Linked DNA regions of Arabidopsis thaliana. The protein of the gene in region 2 interacts with the protein of the main gene of each other region in a pairwise test. Each region holds a gene or a part of one and is shown on either strand. Other genes may lie near its edges.

Region 1 (6,363 bases), on a different chromosome or scaffold from region 2:
ATCATGGAAGTAGAGATAAACAATGAGAAGAATTAACCCGAAACTAAAACTGGTACCAATTCTTCCTGGAAATAAAACCACACAATGTCTCACATAAACCCAAATAGAACCTAAATTGAGTAAAAGGGAAAAAAAAAGTCAAACTAAATTGAACCTAATTAGAGTTTAATAGATAAAATTATATAACCCTAAAATTGAGAAGTAGACAAGAAGATAGACAGAACTCACTTGAATTCGAATAGAGCTCTTCATCACTAAACCCTAAGACCAAGCTTCTTCTTCTTCTAGGGTTTCGAAAGAAAGTAGAACGACAACGAGTTTGTTTAGCTCTGGTTCTTCAAATTTTCCAAGTTCTAGGTTCTATGGTTTTTTTTTCGGAGAAGTAAATTAAAAGACTCGCACACAAAAAAAAAAAAAAATACAATTCTTTCGCTTAGGTTTTGCTTCTGTGTGGTTAATAGGTCCCACTTGAAGGTAAGTACTCTTCAGTTTAAATCCAACCGTTGACTAAAATCCTTTTAATCTCACCCGTTGATTATTTCTTAAATAAGCCGAACACAACACTTTATTGTCCAGTTGGATCTTTTGTACTTTTTTCTATTTTTCATTTCTTTGACCTTTTTCCCTTTTTAATGCGAGGACATATGATTGGAGAGAGCTGCTAAAGTATTTTTTTAGCTTAAGTAATTTCTGATTGTGTTTTACTTTACCCGTCTTAAAACTTAAAAGCTTGCCTAGGGTTTTTTTATTCATCAAACATTAATCGTATAATCAAATTCTCGGCAATAAGTATAACAAACCAAAAAAAATCTCAGAATAACAAAAGAGGAAGTATAGGAAAAGTGTCACTAACATGGGAGACATTACTAGTCTTAATTCTCAGCAATAAATATAACAAACAAAAGAATCTCAGGATAACAAAAAAAAGAAGTAGTATAAGAAAAGAGTCACTAGCATGGGAGACATTATTAGTCTTTTAGTCACATTACACTAATAAATAAAAGTAGACATAATCGAAAACTTGGAGATCGATATACTGTCTCAAACTGATAATTGCACTAACCAAAAGTTATAAATATATATGCTTCTTAGTTATATAACTAGGAGATATTAAAAACCAAAAATTATGAAGCTATAAGAGAGATTGTGATAGATCTTAGAGAGACCTAGTATTGTTTCCGTTTTGATCCAAATTGAAAACCCGGTCCTGATGTTGGCTGTTGTACGTTGGAAATTGAACATACTGATGCGAAAGACCATTAGAGTTAATGCTGTTGTTGTTACTGTAGTCATGCATGTTCATGCTCTGCAACCCGTTAGTTCCAGCTCCTTGCATCCCAAGTAACCCTGCACAGTCTTGAACATTGAAGTTGTTGCGGCTGGACATGTTAGGGTTCTCAAACTCATTGTTTCCGTCTTCGTGTACCCCAAGTAAGCTAGAGTAACTTTCCGCTCTGGAATTCTGGTCAAACTGTTTTGAGAAATCATTAACGCTGTTGATGTTGTTATAGGTTAACATGTTCATGTTCTGAAGCCCATTGATCCCAGTTCCTTGTACCCCGAGAGACCCCGAGTAATTTCCCGCATCCGAATTCGGGTAAATCATCAGTTCAGGCGGAATCGGAGCTAGAGATTGCGTTTGGTTTGAAGCCAATGCTGAGACTGGGATTTGTGAGAAAGCACCGTTTCCATGGTTCCACAGATACATGGAAACCTGGTTTGAGTGTTGTTGAAGTTGATTCATCGTATTAGCCATCATCAGTTCTTGATTAGCCATGTTCGTGTACTGTACCCTCCTCTGCCCCTGAGCTTCAACAACAGCGCAAGTCCTATGTTGGATCCTGGTTAGGTTTCGTTCCAAGGACTGAACCAGTCCCATGAGTTGCTCCACAGAGTAATTGTCAAACCTAGGGTCCCAAACTGGATACTTGACTTTGGGTACACGTCTCACTTTAATCTTCTTCTTCTCCTCCTTCTCGGGATCATCCTTGTTCATCTTCTCGAGGAACTCGTGAAGATCAACGCTTCCTTTGCGACGCTTCGTCTCGCTTAATTCACCGTACCTTCGAGCTATGGCTTTGACCTTCTCTCTCTCTTCAGGCCATGTCTTAAGCTCTCCGTTTGATCCGTAACAGATGACGCAGACATCGATGTCACAGAGAATTGAAAGCTCTTTAGCTTTCTTAAAGACAGTCTGTTGTCTTTTGATCAAACTTGTGGCCCTCGAAGAAGAAAAAGCAGAATTAGGTTTCTTGAAAAAGGTTTTGTTCTTCTTCGATGTTGAAAACGAAAGAGAAGAGGACGAAGAAGAAGCCATGGTTGTGTATATTCTCTGTGAATTGAATGAAGAGGTGGTGATCATTGTTTGCGAATATATAAAACCCTTAGTTCGAGAATTTCTATTTTTGGTCTCGCTCGGTAATTAATGACGAATCAATAATGAAAGCGGTGAAGATTTCATTGCCTTTTTTAATATACTTTTTTCTCATAGAATCAATTTATATGTTTAACGAAGGTGTAGTTTTACTAATAAGGAAAACTTTGGTTTTTGGTTGAATATTATGGAAATCTTTAGTAGAGATTCTTTTCACATGTACATACATACACAAATACATACACTGATATACACACACATAGATTTATATACTATACGTAATGTATACATACTACACTGCGATTCGACTAAAAATTTGGATTTTTCGAAAGTTTAATTATACTACATATGTTTAGTTACATCAATTAATTTGTGTTGTTTGGCTATATGTAAGTCTATAATCTATCGTTTCTGTATAAACTATTTGAATGTTACTAACATTTTTGAGTTTGTGTTTGTATACAAAAATGGCATATAAATACGACATATGTTTTATTTTGTGGTTAAACTGCAAAAAAATGTTTTATTCAATTTGAACAAACTATAGGAAAAAGATATAGTTACACAACTGATATTCACCTAATCTCGCAGCAACAATTCAAACCAAAAAACTCATGAAATCCATTAATAAGTATGTATAATTATTGCGTCACAAGTTATGGCCGGGAAGTGATGATCTCCGGTCTACGGTAATGGCTGGTGGGGTGGGAACAAAAGACTCGTAGTCAGTCCAATTTGATTCGCCCCAATGCCGCAGCATACTTTTCCAATTACATAATTTGTCGATGCAAATTTTGAATCTCGGGTCCTTTACTCTTATTTTCCAATGACCGTCGGCATAATTTGCGGCCTCTGCTTGCCGGCGATCATATTCCAGCTGTGCCTTTTGCTTGGATCGCAAGTAACAGAATTGGTGAAGTTCCTGCAAAATATCATATATGGTAATTACTAACCGTCACAATTTTAGAATAATTTGGGAAAACGTCTAACTATTTTTATATTTCTGCCAACCAATGTTTTTTTAAACTAATCATAAAGAAAGAAAATTTGAAATGATTTTTTTATAAGGTGTATAAAACATAGACATTAAAACTTGATGCCTACTGCGTAGGGGGCTAATTCTGCATTTACTAACCCACCAAGATTTTCGTATATTCAAATTTCATATGGTTATTCTAAACTTGGGTAGTAAGTAATTTTTAGTTTATTTATTTTTTCAAGTTTTGGAAATTTTTGAGAAAGAAATAATGCTATGCAGTTAGTCTCTCAACGCATGACTAAACGCCTAATAATATTTTGAATATTGATCACAATATGAGATTGAAAATATTATGTGATTTTTGAGTTCTATTAAGGTTTTTAGGAGAGAGTGAATCACCTGTGGCATGGCGTCGTGGACCATCCACCATTTTCGATGAGCGATATCGGTAGCAAACTCAACGAATATGTCGGAGTTGAAGTTACAGTCGTAGTCACGGTAACATAACCACGGCTTCATCCCAAGGTAATGAAGAACATAAAGAACAGGAGGCTCTGCTCCAAAAAGCTCTGTTTTCTTGCGTTTCGCGTCATCTTCATCGCCAATCCAAAAATGCTTCAAGAAATTCATATGTTTTGGAATCCGGTGCCACCATGTGAATACCTCGTTTAAGTAACCTTGATCTCCACCGTTATAAGACTCAATCTCGTTTATATGTTCCATCAGAAGCTGAAACGTACAGTTGCAAGGCTCGATCACCATAACTCCTGAATTAAACAGAGTTCCATTGTTTCCTGTAGCTGAGATCTCAGGCATCGAGAACAAGAAATCGATGTTTCTCAAGATTAAGAGATCCGCGTCGATGAAAATGATTTTGTCGTAATCAGTCAGCTGCCATAGCCGGAACTTGCTGTAGTTCCATTCGTTGTAAGCATCTTTCTCTGCCTTAGGGTTTCGAATCCTCTGTATCGTCCGGATTTGCCAACCCGCGGCTTCTAGTCCACTCCGGTGGTAACCGCTGATGTTGTCATCAACAAGGATAACAAGGTCTCTCGTCGAACCAGACTGTCTTATGCTCTGAGCCGCGGCGATTGCACCGCAGACGTAAACGTGAGCTGAGTGAAGAATTGTTGCGTAAGCTTCTCTTTTAGGGTTTCCTAAGCTTGGCCTATCTGTAAAATTCATGGAAGAAAACAGACACTAGTTAACTTAGCGACGATTTTTCAAATTTGTTTTCAAATCTAAACAAGTAATTTCGGGAGTCATTTTTATTCTACCTTGGATGCCAAGAGGAAGAGATAGCTCACAAGACCCTACAGGCAGCTGAAGCTTGTCTCTCAAGGTATCAAGATTAGGTTTGTACAACCAAACATCGCCTCTCCGAGACACAAGATCTTTACACCGGAAAAGATTCGGAATCGGAAAGCATCTAGATACAAAAAACACATGTCCCCTGAAAAACCCTTTGGCCGAAGCCGCCACAGTTGCAGCCGCTAGCTGTAGATGCAATCTCCCGACGTCTCTCGACCAATTCCCTTCTTTCCGACAAGGAAGTTTCACGACGATCAGATCGAGTCTTCTTGTAGGTACCTTAATGTTCGGGATATTAGGACAAACAGGGACCTCTGTTTCTTGCTCCTCATCGATCCACTCTGGATATAGTGCGTCCCAAGTCACATTCTTGTCTGCGTAATCTAGATTCAATACAACAACTTTTTCTTCATCCCCATTGTCCTTGCTCTTGGATACTTCTCTCCATCGTTGGATCTCGTTCGAATCAAAATTCAAGACACCGATCGTACGGCCTTCTTCGATGTTCTCAAGGGTTTTAGTCACATCGTCCCAGTTTATATCCAGATCCGAGAAGTAACGTGGATCTTGTCTTCTCCATATCCATCTAATTTCATAATTTTAAGATAGTATTATAAGAGATAGAGGCAAAAGTAAAAATTTGCATGTGAACATTTTTGAGGTCAAGAATGTAAATGTTGGTGATGGAAAAAAGAAATAGATTTACCGAGAAGATGAGTGGGAAAGAGAATGATGATAAGCTTCAGGAGAATAGATAATGGTGAAGAGAGTGGCAGAGAGAAGGATAAACAAGAGAAGCTTCACGATCTGAAACTTGGTGAAACAACAACAACTACTGTTTTTGTCTTGTGTCGAAAAATTTATGATATTAAACGGTTTCACCATATCCGATCTGCCACCTCCTTTGCTATTTCTCCGGAATCTCCTCTTGCATATTGCTTCTCTGCTTAAACACACACAAAGCCACAATTAGACGATTTTGTTCAGATTTTTTTAATCATTACTTAGAGAGTATTATACTATACACTTACATGGACGCGGAGAGGCGTCGCCGGGAGTCACCACCGGTTGTGGTGGTGGGTGCAGGAGCAGCGGGAGAGTTTGCCATATAAAACTGATGGATTGGGACAGTAGAATTGGACAAGGAAGAGGAGAGAGCAAATATAGGTGAGACATAACGTCTCTTTTAATCTTCTTATATCACATTTCCTTTGTTTCTATTTTTGTTTTTGTTAGGAAATAAGAAAATTGTATTTTTCATACCCACCTTTTTAACAAAGTTAATTTTTGATTTTCTCTTTTTGAAGTTATCGTGATTTTAATAAAATGTTTTAAATTGTGGATAATATTGTAGCTCTTTAGTTTAAACTCCATTCTCAGTTTGTGACTCTCTTATGATTGACATATATATGTCCACCAAACTTTGATCATTTCTTTGTAAAGAGAACCATAATTTATTTTCAAAATAATGAGTTTTTTTTTCAAAATAAAGATACACTTTACCAATAACTCACTTGATTATATAAGCAAAAATATTTTTTTGAAAGGTTTTAAGTCATTGAATTCAATATATATATATAGTGGAAAGAAATATATTACTATGTTTTATTGCATGTACATATTGTACAGCTGGAGAAAGGTAAAATGATGTACGCATGCATCCATGAATAACTATGATTAGTTAACAATAATATACTTC
Region 2 (4,809 bases):
CGAACGTGGAGCCCAATTCGCAACCCGACCCGCCGAAACTCCGACCCGGAAAATCTTCAGTTCTAGCGATATCACCGTTCATTCCGCTATGTACGGTCCCGTGTGGCGATCACTGAGACGGAACATGGTTCAAAACATGCTCTGCTCTAACCGGTTAAAGGAATTTGGTTCAATTAGAAAATCCGCCATTGATAAGCTCGTGGAGAAGATCAAATCTGAAGCTAAGGAAAACGACGGGCTCGTCTGGGTTCTAAGAAACGCTAGATTCGCTGCTTTTTGTATCTTGTTAGATATGTGTTTCGGAGTTAAAATGGAAGAAGAATCGATTGAGAAGATGGATCAGATGATGACGGAGATTTTAACCGCCGTTGATCCACGAATTCACGACTATCTTCCGATTCTAACTCCGTTTTACTTCAAGGAGAGGAAAAATTCTCTGGAACTTCGCCGGAAACTTGTCCAATTCGTCGTTGGATTCATCGAGAAACGACGATTAGCGATTCGAAATCTCGGCTCCGATAAAACGGCGTCGTCTTTCGCGTATCTTGATACTTTATTCGATCTCAGAGTTGATGGTCGTGAAACGTCACCGTCAGATGAAGATCTCGTGACGCTGTGTTCAGAGTTTCTCAACGCCGGTACGGATACGACGGGGACGGCGATAGAGTGGGGAATCGCGGAGCTGATATCGAATCCGAAGATTCAATCTCGGCTGTACGATGAGATTAAATCAACGGTGGGAGATGATCGAACGGTTGAGGAGAAAGATTTGAATAAAATGGTCTTTTTACAAGCTTTTGTTAAGGAGCTTCTCCGGAGACATCCACCGACGTATTTCACGTTAACTCACGGCGTTACGGAGCCGACTAATCTCGCGGGTTACGATATTCCCGTCGGGGCTAATGTTGAGTTTTATCTTCCCGGTATAAGTGAAGACCCGAAGATATGGTCTAAACCGGAGAAATTTGATCCGGACCGGTTTATAACAGGTGGAGAAGACGCCGATTTAACCGGAGTCGCCGGAGTTAAAATGATGCCGTTCGGAATTGGCCGTCGGATTTGTCCGGGGCTTGGAATGGCGGTCGTACACGTGGAGCTAATGCTGTCGAGGATGGTTCAAGAGTTTGAGTGGAGCTCGTACCCGCCGGAGAGCCAAGTGGATTTCACCGGCAAATTGGTGTTCGCGGTGGTGATGAAGAATCCGTTGAGAGCGAGGGTTAAAGCTAGGGTTTAAGTTTCGTTGATTCCACGTCTTTGATTCTTTTAACTTGACCAAACCCGGTTCAAGAGAGAAAATTCGCATTTTGTCTAATTTGCTTTGGTTTAATTAAATGTTTTCCTACTCTTCAATTACTAAATAGAGCCATGCATATTCGATTTACGTTTGTTTTAGTTGGTTTGCATTATTGCATGTCTTCAAATTAAGCTAGTATAAACTAATAATTTAGATGGTTTGACTAAACCAAATAACTGTTTATTACTGAACCAAATTTTCGATTAAATCACTCTTTCAGAAAAGGAAATTTCTTTGACAAAGGAAAAGGAAACATATACTTATTGGATTAATTAGTGATTAGTAGATTATCACGAAAAGGAAATAGAATCGATGGTTTAACTGAACCAGCCATGGTTAGTTTCAGGTGCTTTTCGAGTTAAGTTTTCAAAAAAGGAAATCGATTGTACTTAGTTTGGTTCGTCTCAGGCGGTTTAAGAGTCATTACTTTCAAAAAAGGAAAATAATTATACTTAGTTCGTTTAATCACTGATTAGCTAATTGTCAGAAAAAGGAAATATAGTCGATTGATTAGAAACGAGTAACAACACAGAGTCTATATATACACGATTAGAAACAGAGAGTAGCCATATCATATTCTTTCGCAACAGGCTAACACAAAAATCTCTCTGTCTTTTTCTCCTTCTCTTTCTTTGTCTGTGAAATCGTGAACACAGAATGGGGGGCGTGAAGAGAAAGATTTCTATAGAGCTGATAGAGAAGAAAGATTCAAGAGCTGTTGCTTTCTCAAAACGCAGTAGGGGTCTATATAGCAAAGCCTCTGATCTTTGTCTTCTCTCCGATGCACAAATTGCGATCATAGCCACTCCGGTCTCTTCCAAATCAAACGTTTCTTTCTACACCTTTGGCCATTCCTCTGTTGATAACGTTGTAGCCGCTTTCCTCACGAATCAGCGTCCTCGGGAAGGTCTAGGGTTAGACTATTGGTGGGAAGATGAGAGGCTTTCAAAATCAGAGGACCTGGAGGAACTGAGAGACGCAATGGACTCGATGTCGAAGATGTTGAAAGATCTGAAGGATTTGCAGAATCAACGAGATTGTGAGGAGGACGTGAAGAAGAAGGGTGTTTTACACGGAACTCATCAAAAGCAAACCTTTAATCCTGAATCATGTTCTGTGAATTTCGATGGGTTTAACAAGAACACTGAAGAATTTGATCTTGATGAAATATTTGATTATGTGTCAACAGCTGAAGCTCTATCGATGAACTTGGACATGGACGATGTCTCTGTGGTGACCACGAATCAAAACCCCGTCTCTGCTTCTGAAACTGTTGAAGATAGAGAATTGGTTGTTCACAAAAATATGGATGAGGACAATATCCACGTGTCTGATATGGACGACAAGGATACGATGCTAATGATTTCTGACAAGAACAATGTTTTACCTGAAAACTTGGATGAATTCGATCAAGAGCTAGATCTTGATCAGCTACTTGATTTTGAGACAAACTATGAAAGCCTTTTGAAGAGTTGTGAGATGGAGGATTATGCCTCGATGGTGACTACAAAGCAAAATCTGTGCTCAAATCCTGAAGCTGTTGAAGATGGAGGATTAATGATTCAAAAAGATTTACCGGAGGATAATCTCTGCTTTTCTGATTATTTCAGTGACTTACATTGCTGATATTTGAAACTCCCTCCAAGATAACAGATGTTTCAAGGATTGCTTCGGTTTATTTTCGTTAGAGATACTTTACTCAAGGAAGGTTCCGGTTTGACTTCAATCAATTTTCCATGCTTCATTGGATTTCTGGGATGTTGATCTAACTCAAACCGGTTCAGTTTTGGTTTGCCTTAACTAATGAAGAAACCATCCTTTTTTCTTTTAAGTTTTGTAGTCTTTTCTATCAACTTGTCTTGTTTTATATGTGTGATGTTTTCTTCTTATATTAAAAGTTTAAAACCAATGAGTCTTACTACTCTTTTTTTCTTGTATCAACTTGTGTCTTGTTTAACTGTGGGATGTTTTCTAATCTAACCAACAAATAATATTAAAACCAATATTGAGTCTTACAACAGAAAACATCTGTCTGACAATCTTTGATTAGGAATGTCTCTGCTTTCTTATTAAGTACCAAAACCAGTCATCATCTAGGCCAGTATTTTGTGATTACTTCATAACTTGAAAACAGATAAAGCTTTACCAAAATAGAGCAGAATGGCTCCATAACAAATTGCAGAAGAACCGGTGCTAATTGATTCCATTCAAAACGTGATGCAGAGAAGTGTTTATATGGCGGGGAAAGTTTGGGAAAAAACACCTTGTAATTGGTTCAAATGCAATGTAGGGGGAGCTTGGGTGTTAAGAAATGAGTTGGGTGGTTTTACTTCACAGTCGCCGGGCGATATTTAGTATAAGAAGTGTAGAGGATGCAAAGCTAAGAGTTTTGCTTTGGTCTATTGAAAGCATGTCAAGTCACAAAGTCATGAGAGTTTTTTTTTGCTTGCCAAGAAAAAGGATTGGTAGAAGCAGTTAATAGGCCGCAGGCTTGGCCCCTCTTTTAAAGCTCAATCTTTTGCTTTAAAGAGTTTTTTGTTTAGTTCCAGGTGTGGAAGATGATGGTTTTGGAAACTTTTGGTGCAAACAGGGGAGCAAATCTTATTGCTAAAAGTGTGACAGGAGATCTGAGACTGCAGTCGTATGTGGCAATGGGTCCTCCAAGCTGCCTGGTAAGAGTTTTTGAGGAAGAAAGGACTTGCATCTCTGTTTGTTAATGCAGTTTCGTTTCATGGGCTAAAGTTCTTTTTGTGAACTGATATTTGCAGTCCGTTGTTGAGTTTGTTTAGTGTAGGGAGTTTGTTTTGTCTCCTGTAGTTTAGACCCTCACTTTTTTGTAGCTATATGGCTTTATCAGTGTATAAAAGCCAGATGATGAGAAAAAGAAAAAAAAATTGCAGAAGAACCCTTAATTTATGACATATATAATACCACTCATGAAGAACAGTTGAAATTTCTGACAAGTAAATTGAATTCCAACCAAGTCAAACACGTTTATTCGAGTTTCTTTTTTGTTTTTTCTCAAAGTATAATAAGATGTTGAATTCTGATTAGCTGAAAGATGACACGATTTTATTCATTGTTTTTGGGTCTACCAAAATTGGAAAGTGAGTAAATAAATGGCTTTCTGCGACATTTGGCTTTCCCATGTTACTAATTTATTAAAGGAACAGTTGAACGCAATAAATAAAAACAAAGACATGCACTGATCACACAATTCCTAGACTCCCAAATTATCATTCTAACAGGTAAATTTCACGGTGATATGTTAAATATGTAGCCTGTAGGTCCAAATACAACAACTACTTTTTTTGTTTTTTTTCTATTTTCATTATACATCCTTATTGTTATCTAATTAGTAATTATCAGCATTAAAGATCTGGGACACTCCTGTTTAAAGCTTTCATCGACTATTTGCCTATTAGTTGTAACAATCAGCCTATGGTTATAGGTGAATCTAGACTCATATAATCAATTCTGACTTAAACCTTGTTTGAAAGTAAAGAGTGTTTCTA
Region 3 (6,385 bases), about 22 Mb from region 2:
AAGACGATGATAAAAGCGTTGTGAGTCGAAAAAGCGAAGAAAAAGAGGTAGAAATGAATGATGAGACAGATTCAAACAAAGAAGAATGTGATGATTCAAGTTGTTCAGAAGAAAGTGAGTCAGAACTATGCCGTTTAAACAAAGCGGAGCTCAGGGAAGCTATATGCCAATCCATGGACAACAATCCCGGTTATCTTGTGAATCAAGCAAGAAATAGTATTCCAAGCACATTACCTAGAGGTATAGTAGCGCCAAGACTAGATGATAACAACATGTTTTACGCTCGCAAATGTGGAAATTCGCACAGTCGAACATTTTCAGTTGCCTCGGATATGCAAGTTGAGGTTTCAGAGATTGGTTCACCTCCTACAACAGTTGATTGGCTTGATGACTGGTCTACTGGTGGTGAATCTTACATTTATGATACAGATATTGACAGAGAAATCGTCCGCGATGAAGAATCACGTAAGAGGATGTCTCATCAATATGAATCAAGAAGTGGAATAGGATCAAAAGAGGAGAATAGTGAGCCAAGTACTAAACCTGAGGCCAAACCAGATCAGGATTGTGTGGTAGATGAAGACCTTATAACAGTTGATGATATGTCATTGTTAGATAGAAGAACCCAAAGTGAAGAGATTTTTGAGCAGACACCTTCTAGTTCCAGTGATGTGTCCAAGCCTACAAGTTCTGGGAGATTTGAAGGTATGTTGTTCCATACAAGTGCCTCATTGTCGTCTATAACAGAAGAACCTGAAACAATCTTGGATTCGATCGATGGCGTCAACTCGGAGATTATGAATAGTTTGACTGGAGAATTAACTGACCAGAGACCTCTGACTAGTCTTGATTTATCCATGGAGAATTTGATAGATGAAGAAGTTGCTGATATGCAACAAATAGAAAATGATGATCTTTGTGGATCTCCTAAGATTATTGATTTTGATATCATTGATCATCAGCAGACAGATCAAACGTCGGATAGCATTCAAGGAGAACATGAGGAAACTAAGAGCTTCTTGGATGCTTCTTTGGACACACCCTTTATAGAATCATTTGAGAGAGAGGTACAAGAAGAAGAAGAATCAAACTTAGACAAGTCTACTGAGGAAACAACAAAAGAAACAGAAAGTGATTTGAAGAGTTCTCCGGGACAAGTTTCTACAGAATTACTAGAAAGTGTGGTAAGGGAAGAGAATGGTCAGGAATTAGTCAAAAGTGCTGATGAGAAAGCAATGCTAGTAGAGGAAGAGAAGACTCATAATGTCTTGGAAGCATCTTCGAGCAATGCTCATACACAGTTGGTTGATTTAGACTATGGAAACGCAGAAAATTCTAGTGATGTGATACTTCTGCAAGTCCAAGATAGTCATAAGTCACCACTAGATGAGTCAGTTGATCAGGAGATCTCTAAGGAAGTAGAAAAAACAGAGTTATTAAAAGATTTTTGTGGTGAATCAACCCAAGAATACAAAAATAGAGGAAATGTTGAGGCCTGTGGAAACGCAGAAAATGCTAGTGATGTGTTACTTCTGCAAGTCCAAGATGGTAATAACTCACCACTAGATGAGTCAACTGATCAGGAGATTTCTAAGGAAGAAGAAAAAACAGAGGTATTGAAAGATTTTAATGATGAAACGCCCCAAGGATACAAAAATAGAGCCAATGTTGAGGAAGAATCAGTAGTTTTAGCTGACACTCAAAACTCACAAGATTCACAAACATGGACTCAACAGGTTTCACCTTCTATTCTAATCATCTTTGACATTTTAGACAAATCTGACTCCACCAATGATTCACTGAATATGTGATTATCCATAACCATTTACTAAGATAATAAATTTTACTAGCTTCTTCCTCTGTTGTTGGTTCTTGATTTGAAGTTTTAGTAATTGCTTTTGACACTTTTGTTTTTATTGAATAGTGTGGTATAGATTCTTCCCAAGGGATATCACCAAGAACATTGGAGATCACCCAGCAACTAGAGCAAGACGATGTTATTGCCTCTTCCTCAAACACCGTCTCTCAAGATATCAATAAAGATATTACCGCGGCAGTAGCCAATGACTTAGCTGCTAGTGAGAGGAATGATGAAGTGATTCTGAAACTTGATGAGCAAGTTGGAGAAGCTATGGAAAAGGAACTAGAGCTTAATTTAGAATCACTGCACCATAATATTGGTTTAGTCGGTAGAGAAGACGATGAAGAATCCAAGAAAGTAATAGAGGAAATGCAAAATGCGGAGATCCAAACAACAAAACACGAAAACAGAGTCTTAGGTTAGTCGTAATTCAAAAATGGAGAAGAAAGCATAGATGATCAGAAAAGTGTTTGATATTCCTATGTTATAACCAAATGCTTACTATTTTGCAGAAAATTAACACATTGATGATACTAACACACAGAATCATGATGACGAAAACAAGTAACGCTGCACATAAGGTACGGTACGCCACAAGGAAAATGTGTTAAGAATTCTTTTTGATCCATAACAGGTGAAACATTGTGTTGTATCATTATTTAATGGACTTTTTGTTTAATTATACAACTTGTAAAGGCAACTCATTCTTTTGTAATATACTGTATAGAGATGGATAAATCTTTTGAATATATACTCACAGAAGAACTACTAGCATTCATTTCTCTTCTTTTCTTCTTTGTTTTAATGTTAAGATTATATTAGCGAAACATATTACAACCTAAAGCTACCCATATCCATAAAAAACGAATCGAATCGAGAAAGTTTTTCGGCATACAACGGATAAGTAGTACAACAACGGCCCTAAGAGCTGCCGGCGTTAAAGGTGACTATTATATAACAAGATTACAATAAGTGTATAAATATTAAACCGTCTAACTAATAAGGAAAGAAATAAATTTAACTGTGTTTAACATTTTTGTCTTTCTTGGTAAGCATCTTCAAGTTAGTATATTTTCCCTTTTGGCAAACTAAATATTCCCAATTTAATTCTTCTTTCCTAAACTTTCATGATCATTTAAATGTTCATATCTCGTGATCTTTGACAACCTTCCATAAACACAAACCTAATCAAGCTCAATATATAAAATCTCGCATATATTAGCTTGATTCACCCTTATTCCGACAGAAGCTCCAAAAAATCGGTTTTGGTATAAAATCTCATTGAAACTTTTGCTTTGATATTCAAGTAAGGATACTATCTTTTCCATAAACAATTTCTACATTTGTTCATTAATTCTGCTCTGGCTCTAAGGTATTTCATGTTTCATTTGTTCTGTTGTGGGATTGATTTCGTTTTGAGGGTGTCGAGAATTAGCTAGCTCCTACTTCTCGGATTTTGACTATTGGCTTTGCGTTTTCTCATTTATTCGTGAGTGTAATTTTAAAATTCTTTCGCTCTATCCTATGGTTTGTGTGGGGATTGAGGCAGCATAGAAAAAACGCCTTTAATTTGGGTTGTTTTGATCATAATTTGAGTGTTTATAGACCAACTATTCACAAAACGCCTATAAACAAAGTATTTTACAAAACATATCAATTCAATTTATTTGTACTTTTGTTTTTGGGAAAAAGGTTTATATGTTTATATGTTTTTTTTTGTAATATATAACAATAACTCAGGTTACAAAGGATGGTTCCGAAAGTGGTCGACCTACAAAGGATAGCGAACGATAAGACAAGGATAACAACTTACAAGAAGAGGAAAGCTAGTCTTTACAAGAAGGCACAAGAGTTCTCAACTCTCTGCGGCGTCGAGACATGTCTCATCGTCTACGGTCCCACGAAGGCTACCGATGTGGTGATTTCCGAGCCAGAGATATGGCCGAAGGACGAGACCAAAGTCAGGGCCATCATACGCAAGTACAAAGACACAGTGTCGACCAGCTGCAGGAAAGAAACCAACGTGGAGACTTTCGTCAACGATGTAGGGAAAGGAAACGAGGTGGTGACTAAAAAGAGAGTGAAGCGTGAGAATAAGTATTCTAGTTGGGAGGAGAAGCTAGACAAGTGTTCACGAGAGCAACTACATGGGATTTTCTGTGCCGTGGATAGCAAGTTAAATGAAGCTGTAACGAGACAGGAGCGTAGTATGTTTAGGGTTAATCATCAAGCCATGGACACACCATTCCCGCAGAATTTAATGGACCAACAATTCATGCCACAGTATTTTCATGAGCAGCCACAGTTTCAAGGCTTCCCTAATAATTTCAATAATATGGGTTTCTCGTTGATTTCACCTCATGATGGTCAGATTCAAATGGACCCAAATCTCATGGAGAAGTGGACCGACTTGGCTTTGACTCAAAGCTTGATGATGTCAAAGGGAAACGATGGTACTCAATTCATGCAGAGGCAAGAACAACCATACTATAATCGTGAACAGGTTGTATCGAGGTCTGCAGGTTTCAATGTTAACCCGTTTATGGGATATCAAGTCCCGTTTAATATTCCTAATTGGAGATTATCGGGAAATCAAGTTGAAAATTGGGAGCTTTCAGGGAAGAAAACGATATGATTTGAATTACGGAGCTTTATTAGTTTTTAGGGTTTTATAGTTTTGTTTCTGTTGGGGTTTTTAATTTTTTTTTGTGTATGATGGCTTGACATGCAAAAGTCAAGTGTTTTTTTTTTGACATAACATCATCTTTTTACATTTTATACAAGTTTCGGTTATACGTAAAGTTTTCTTTAAACACTCAGAAAATAATGTACCACTTATTTTATTATATTATCCTTGGTTTTTATATGATCATCTCCCAAATTGTCCCAAAAAACAAAATCTATAAGAACTAGTTAAGATGAATTAATTAATCATTTTACTTTCCGTGTCGAGTTTTAATTGGGATGGTAAGACATTGACAACCCTAACCACTAGACTATAAATCTTGCAACTGAGTAATTTATTTTTGTAAAAGCTTTTTTAAAAGAAAATATCTTTTTTAATCTTTGTTGATTATTCAATTACTTGATAGCTTTTGTTCATTGTTTTAAAAGCTAATTAATAATTTGTACCTTTTTGTTGATTGAATTCCAAAATTCTTTGGTTATACCAAAAAAACAAAATACGTATAGTGTCTACTGTCCTACAGACTATCTATAGCGTGTCTAGAAAAAGGAAAAAATAAAAGAAAAAATTAAGGACTATAAAGTTTAATTAGTTGCACTGTTCTCAAACATTGTCCGTTGTTATAACTTCAAGTGGTTGTTGAAAGAATAGTTTGGTTGATTGAGACGAACAACGAATAATGCCATATTGTGATCTATACATTATTCAAACATTACACGACAAATATTGGATATTTAAGTTAGAGATGGCCAACTTTGTGTCTTTGAACCTTTTTCCCTGCAACTTGTATTACAAACATATTTTTTTAATTTTTTCCCTCAACAACTAACACTGCACAATATCGGATTTAATATTTTTTTTATGCATCATACTATATAATATGATAATGCTGATATGAATTAGACTATTGTTGTGTTTCTCAAAAGGGGTTATTCACAACCACCATTTGCATATTTGGCACTGTTTAGGATTTGTTTAAGCACTTCTTACATCTGCTAATTCGATCGGGTTTGTCTATCGTACACAACACATATGATGATGTTTTGTTAGGTTTAGTCTCGGTTTACGCTTCAAGCATGTTCATGAATCTTAAACCGCTGATGAACTTGTGTGTATTAGATGTGAAGCTGTGACAGCCCATTTCGTATCGGTGGTCCAGAAGTGAAGTGGATGAGTAGTTGGAGTTATGTTGTATATATGCGTATAACGTAAGCTGTTAAAGACGATATAATTTGGCTTCACTTGTATATCGTTTTAATTTGGCATCACCTATCTTTCATTTTGTCACACCACTTGTTAATTTGCAACTTGCAACCATTTGAAACTTAACTAACAATTTTACTCAAAGATAACTTAGGCACTGTCAAGAGACTTTTATTAACTATTTCAATTTGGAATTAAAACAATGGACGTTTATTATACAATTGCCAAATATGATTGTTTCGTCCATATGAAAAATTAAGAATTTAACTTACACTTTTTAATTAGAGAGATGGATCTTCATTAGCTATAGTTGAAACATTGTGTTTTGGGCGTCATAGCAAGAATCTGCATTGTTATACCCTCCAATCATAACCTGGCCGTATGAATGAACGCCACTAATAGCGTTTCCAATCGTTATATTGAAAGCGTCTGCCTGTGTTCCATTGTTGTCCGTTTGGTTCCAAGGAAACGCGGTTAGCCTTGAACGCTGATCTCCAACAACAATGGAGCTCTTATTGGTCTCCAAAGAAGCCTCCTCTTCGAGATTTACGGTGGTTATGTCGTGAATGCTTGCTCGTCTCTTGTCCTTGCCGCCGGAAAGTTGCCGGATGAAGTACTTTTGGGCGTGGCTAGCT
Region 4 (6,519 bases), on a different chromosome or scaffold from region 2:
AAAGAACTCTAATATGTTCTTCTTGATCCAAACCACACTTGGATTCCATTCACATACTTCACTTATTAAGATTTACCATTTGGGAATACGAGCATGTCGGTAGAAGAGAGGCTAGGTAGAATGAAATAAATGTAGATTTATGTTTTTTTAATGATTTTTTAAAGGTTTTTTCATGTATTTTTCTTTTATTTTTTTTAAAAAGTTTTGATTTGGAATTATCGAAAGATTTATGAACAAAATTTTAGCTTATATTTTCTTAAAAAGACTTTAAAATAGTAGAAAAGCTTGAAATAAAAAAATAAAAAATGGTCAAAAGTTTTGTTGGATTTTGTTTAGATTACCATATCATTTGTTATAAAATTTCATTCAATAATAGAAAACCAAATGACATCACGTATCGTTGAATATACACTTCTACGTATTTAACAAAATGATTAATGATTCACTTTCAATGAACCCAAATGTTTTTTAAAATCCGATAAAACTTTAAACCTAAGATATAAACTTTAGAAAAAGACTTATGAAATATAAACCCAAACTAACCCATAACACCACCTAAAATATTCTGATTAGAAAAAGACTTATGGGTGGGGACATCAATGTAAACTTTCATAATTTGCAGAAATCTTACAAAATTTACTCGAGGCATTTATTACAAAATATGGTTCCGCCTCTGCGCATACACTATACATAAAATTGGAAAAAAAAGTTTTAACGGATAATATGATTTAATGTCGTTACACATCCCAATGCAACGGATCGAAATAGAATGCATGTGTTTATTCATTTCATTTCGTATATGATATCGTAAGGGAGTTCATATACTCACTAACAAGACAAAACATTTCTTGACCAAAAGAAAAAAAAGATTTCTTGAATAAACATTTTGTTACTATAATGGCGATAGTCATAGGTTTACTTGAAATCTTCACAGCATTTGTTTTCTTCATTTTCTTCCAATGTTTATTACTCCACAAGAAAACTCCCAAGCCTTTGCTCACGAACTGGCCGGCCCTTGGGATGCTTCCGGGTCTACTCCTCCAAGTGCCTCGTATCTACGACTGGATCACCGAGGTTCTTGAGGCGACAGATATGACGTTTTGTTTCAAAGGTCCATGTCTTAGCGGAATGGACATCTTGCTTACTGTTGATCCGGTGAATATCCACTACATTCTAAGCTCAAATTTTGCTAACTACCCCAAAGGAATGGAGTTCAAGAAGATCTTCGAAGTCGTGGGTGATTCAATTTTCAACGTTGACTCGGGTTTGTGGGAGGATATGAGGAACTCGTCTCATGCCATTTTTAGTAATCAAGATTTCCAAATGTTCTGGGTGAGTACAAGTGTAAGAAAATTAAGGCAAGGGCTTGTTCCTATTCTTGAAAACGCAGCTGATAAAAATATCCTTGTCGACTTGCAAGATTTGTTCCAGAGATTCTTGTTTGATACATCTTTGATTTTGATGACCGGGTATGATCCAAAATGTTTATCCGTTGAAATGCCTAAGGTTGAGTTCGGTGACGCGGTCGATGGTGTTTCTGACGGGGTTTTCTATAGACATGTTAAGCCGGTTTTCTTGTGGAGGCTCCAATATTTGATTGGTGTAGGAGTAGAGAAAAGATTGAAAAGAGGTCTAGCGGTATTCGATCAACTACTCGAGAAGATCATAACGGCTAAACGAGAGGAGATCAATAGTCATGGGACTCATCATCCCTCAAGAGGAGAGGCCATAGACGTGTTGACATACTACATGACTATGGACACGACCAAATATAAGTACTTGGAACCAAGTGATGATAGATTCATCAAAGACACTATTTTGGGTTTCTTGATAGCGGCAAGAGATACAACAAGTTCAGCACTCACTTGGTTCTTCTGGCTTATGTCCAAGAACCCTGAGGCAATAAACAAGATCCGACAAGAGGTTAACAAGAAGATGCCGAGGTTTGATCCCGCAGATTTAGAAAAGCTCGTGTATCTACACGGTGCCGTGTGTGAGACGCTAAGGTTATACCCACCAGTTCCATTTAACCACAAGTCACCGGCAAAGCCAGACGTACTTCCAAGTGGGCATAGAGTAGATGAGAAATGGAAGATTGTCATATCTATGTATGCATTAGGGAGGATGAAATCTGTTTGGGGAGATGACGCAGAAGATTTCAGACCAGAGAGATGGATTTCAGACAGTGGAAGGTTAAAACATGAACCTTCATATAAGTTCTTGGCGTTTAACGCCGGTCCAAGAGCTTGCTTGGGGAAAAAGTTAACGTTCTTACAGATGAAGACAGTGGCTGCGGAAATCATACGAAACTATGACATCAAGGTCGTTGAAGGGCACAAAACCGAACCAGTTCCTTCTGTTCTTTTTCGTATGCAACATGGTCTCAAAGTTAATATCACTAGGATCTAGTGATAGTTTTTGTATTTTTTTTGCTGTTAAAGATTTCAATAAAACATGCATGTTTACTCATGCTTAGACTTATTTTGCAAACACGTCTTTAATTTGTATCAGTCATTTGCCTTATAAGAGTCTCTATTTCATAATAACATCACGGTTTTACAATAGCATGTGCTCACATTTTGTGGTCTTTAGAATCTGATGTTTAGTTACTAATATTTTTTTTGGCAGCTATGGTTTGTATTATTGGACCCTTCCCCACAGTTATAACACCCAAAATCGATAACACACATAATAGCATGTGTCTTAACGAAACAAAAAAAATAAAATAACATTACTTTCACTGTTTAGCCATAACATTACTTTCTATCCAACTGATATTACATGTATTTTAAATTATTTATTAATTATGTTTATATAAACTATTAACATATAGAAAAAATTTAGAGATTGAAGAAATATCTTAAATTACCTTTGATGTAATTTGTTTTCCTTTCAATGGACTTCCTAAATAAAGTATAAATCTCATTAGATATGTGATACAACTGTTTTCCTATATATCTTGTTTTTATATATGCCCCCCAAAAGGTAAAATATCTATATGGGCTGTCTCTAAAGATAAATGATTATCACTTTACCATCAATCACATGCCTACACGTAAGGGTGAAACTAATACAAATCCTGAAAAATTAGTAAAATAAAAAATCAATTAATCATATCCAGCAAAGCAATAAAAAATCTATTGACTCGAAAATTGACTATATAAACCATCCTCCTCATGCTAACAAGACAAAGCAAAATACACAAAAGAAAAAGATAAGAGATATGAGGGGGAAGATGAAGTTATCGTTCATAGAAAATGATTCAGTGAGGAAAACAACATTCACCAAAAGGAAGAAAGGGATGCTGAAGAAATTCAACGAGCTAGTAACTCTATGTGGTGTTGACGCATGTGCGGTCATCCGTAGCCCGTACAACTCGATCCAGGAGCCTTGGCCATCAAGGGAAGGCGTTGAAGAAGTGATGTCGAAGTTTATGGAGTTTTCGGTGTTGGACCGGACCAAGAAGATGGTGGATCAAGAGACGTTTTTACGTCAAAGGATCGCCAAAGAAACAGAACGTCTCCAGAAGCTACGTGATGAGAACCGTAATTCTCAGATTCGAGATTTAATGTTTGGTTGTCTCAAAGGAGAGGTGGACGTGTCTCATCTTCATGGAAGAGATCTTCTTGATTTGAATGTATTTCTTAACAAGTATCTCAATGGTGTTATTCGTAGGGTTGAGATCCTTAAGGAGAACGGTGAGTCTTCTTCATCTGTACCTCCTCCTATTGGTGTAGCTCCTACTGTTGTGGATGCATCTGTCCCAATCGGTTTTGATGGTCGTATGATTCAAGATCAAAACCAAAATCAGCAAGAGCCGGTTCAATTCCAATACCAGGCTCTTTATGATTTTTATGATCAGATTCCAAAGAAACTTCATGATTTTAACATGAAAATGAATATAGATCCAAATCAGAGTATGAATTTGGATCTTAATGATGGAGAGGACGAGGGCATTCCTTGCATGGACAACAACAACTACCACCCCGAAATCGATTGTCTCGCTACCGTCACCACTGCCCCCACTGATGTTTGTGCTCCTAACATCATCAATGATCTCTAGTCGAAGGGATGTATTTCGAGTGAAGTGGTTGATCATCTGCATCTTTTGATTTTTCCATTTCAGAAAATAAAATTTATGTGATGTTTTTTTTTATTATTGTACTACAGTTAAAGGTTTTGCCTTTAAGTTCATTTCCGTTGATGTATTTGCCTGAAAAGGTTTAGTTCAATTTGAATAATTTTAATCATTACAAAATAAAGAGTTTTCAGTATCTTTAGAAGAAACAAATCTTTAGATATGATGTCATTAAAAACCCTATAATATCTAAAATAGCTTTGATTAAGTCAACTTTCTTTGTTTTGCCTATATATATGCTATGGCTATGTCATGTTTTCGTCTTACTTATATTTGAACTAAAATGATTATGAATGTTATTGCCATATTTTTGTTGGATTCAAATGTTGATCACAAAAAAGAAAGGATTTCAATTTTGTGTACCATGCTATTTCAAGATGTTTCTAGCAAATTCTCAACTACGTAGTTTAGGTGACCACTTGTGAGACCTTTGCATACTTTGGCACACATAATTTTCTAATGCATACCTCATCTATGAGTCGAGAAGACGTCCCATGGGAATAAAAAAATCGAAGACAAAAGTACATATATAGTGCTGACCATTGTGGATCTCCTGATGTACATACTCAGCCGTAATTGGTTTTAACTTCAGTAGCTTCTGCCACGTTTTGGAACCTAGAGTAGAATCCTTACCATCCTAACAGATAATATATTGTCGGAACCGCCCATAATAAACCCCCACGAAGTTAGTAGTTTCCAAATTAAGCTTAAGCTAAACAACCGTGACACATGAATACGTTGGAAATGAAGCCCTCATTCCTTTTTAGGAATACACGCTTCTTTCAACATATTGGCACGCTTGTGGAAAAAAACATAGAATAGTAGAAAACCTAGCAAGATACGGCCATAAAAGAAATTAAGGAATCTTAAAAATCTCTTCTTTCACATTGTTTCCACACTTCCCCTGCTTTGTTGTTTCAGAATTGAGACACGTTGTACAAGATTTTTGGATCAAAAGACTCGCAAATATAGTTAAGTTTATTTATGACACCTAAATTCTAGTCCAACAAGAATTTGCGTGATCGCAAATTTTGATAAATTTGTGTGCTTGTATTATCTATTTTATCCAACGGAAAAAGATTCTTGATAAATAATATCTATCGTTTTCGAAAAACTTTGTTTTTCATCACTGAGTTTTTAACATCGAATGCATTAATTTCATGGAATGCTTTTTTATCCCAACATGATAGAATTGTAATTTATTACTTTGTCAAAGTTTTGGAACGTTAGACTTTGCCATTCATCCCAAGCAAGTGGGAGGGTGATATCTCGTTGGTGATCAAAAGGATCTTTTAAGGATTTCCAAAGTTCTTTAAGATCTCGCATGTGTGCATAGTCATATAATACACTTTTATCGAATTGTCTTTTAAGGAAGATTCGATTTTACTTTTTCTTGGGCCATCGAAGTATCATACTCTTTTAAGGTCTCCGTTATCTCAAGAGACTCCAAACGTAACTTAACATTGATGGTCTAAGATATGTAGTAAGTCTGAGTAATGTATAAGACTGTAAATCGAAGCTTCTCGATATTAGTCATTTCATTTCTAATATAAAATCATGGAGAACGTTATTAGAAATTTGATATTTTATTTTATAGCATGGAAGGTACTTGTATAAGCAATACAATTACATTTTAAAAAGTATAATAATAACCATCAAAACGTTTTAGGAAAAATACTCTCCAAAGAGTAAACCGTAAATTAAAACAAATATAAAATCTCTTATAAAAACTAAAAACCGATGAGTCAGTTTTTGAGAGAGAATATTTTTTGGAAAAAATGAGATATTTGAGTGAGAGGAATTAATGAAAAATAAGTGTATATATAGATGAAAATTATTGTTATTAGCGGTTAAGTAACCGTTTGAAAAGTAAAAACAAATATTAAAGCATGGGTAGTTAAATTTGTCTGACTGTTGAGATTTAAAAGATAAATGAAATCTTAGTTCAAAAACAAATAATCAAGAAGATATATTAGTTTATATAGGTGGCTGAGCCTCCTTTAATAATAATGATAATATAGACGATAATATGATTATGATATGGTGACTAAATCATCCATATTAAGAGAATAAACTAAAAGCGGTAAAAGAAGTAAATAAGTTATGGTAATTTAAATTGTCCATGTTAAGGCAGTAAATTAAAATATTAAATAAAATATGATGATTTAAATCATCCATATTAAAACAGTAAATTAAAATATTAAATAAAATATGATGATCAAAATCATCTATGTTAAAGCATTAAATTAAAGTATCAAATAAAATATAACGATTAAACTCATCTATATTAAAATATTAAAATAATATATGGTGACTAAAATCATCCGTAAAAATAAGGTGATTTAAGTCATCCATATTAAAGAATTAAAAACAGTAAAGAA

What was found.
Region 1: the proteins of AGL99 (region 2) and AGL103 interact in a two-hybrid assay, tested with the Arabidopsis thaliana proteins (one large-scale study listed by BioGRID).
Region 3: the proteins of AGL99 (region 2) and AGL82 interact in a two-hybrid assay, tested with the Arabidopsis thaliana proteins (one large-scale study listed by BioGRID).
Region 4: the proteins of AGL99 (region 2) and PHE1 interact in a two-hybrid assay, tested with the Arabidopsis thaliana proteins (one large-scale study listed by BioGRID).

What each region holds. Positions count from the first base shown.
Region 1 is NC_003074.8:6,416,188-6,422,550, forward strand, and holds AGL103 (AGAMOUS-like 103), read right to left. Parts: upstream 2,318-6,363; coding exon 1,157-2,317; downstream 1-1,156. Other genes in the region: PGSIP1 (plant glycogenin-like starch initiation protein 1), read right to left, coding at 3,024-3,296, 3,753-4,525, 4,631-5,250, 5,371-5,607, 5,696-5,772. UniProt on the Arabidopsis thaliana protein: Probable transcription factor that may function in the maintenance of the proper function of the central cell in pollen tube attraction.
Region 2 is NC_003076.8:1,330,874-1,335,682, forward strand, and holds AGL99 (AGAMOUS-like 99), read left to right. Parts: upstream 1-1,885; 5' UTR 1,886-1,951; coding exon 1,952-2,920; 3' UTR 2,921-3,049; downstream 3,050-4,809. Other genes in the region: CYP77A9 (cytochrome P450, family 77, subfamily A, polypeptide 9), read left to right, coding at 1-1,234.
Region 3 is NC_003076.8:23,777,221-23,783,605, forward strand, and holds AGL82 (AGAMOUS-like 82), read left to right. Parts: upstream 1-3,611; coding exon 3,612-4,496; downstream 4,497-6,385. Other genes in the region: AT5G58880 (LRR protein), read left to right, coding at 1-1,736, 1,925-2,279, 2,374-2,381; AT5G58900 (Homeodomain-like transcriptional regulator), read right to left, coding at 6,055-6,385. UniProt on the Arabidopsis thaliana protein: Probable transcription factor that may function in the maintenance of the proper function of the central cell in pollen tube attraction.
Region 4 is NC_003070.9:24,264,025-24,270,543, reverse strand, and holds PHE1 (MADS-box transcription factor family protein), read left to right. Parts: upstream 1-3,207; 5' UTR 3,208-3,223; coding exon 3,224-4,063; 3' UTR 4,064-4,287; downstream 4,288-6,519. Other genes in the region: CYP96A3 (cytochrome P450, family 96, subfamily A, polypeptide 3), read left to right, coding at 898-2,409. UniProt on the Arabidopsis thaliana protein: Probable transcription factor involved in the development of gametophytes and seeds.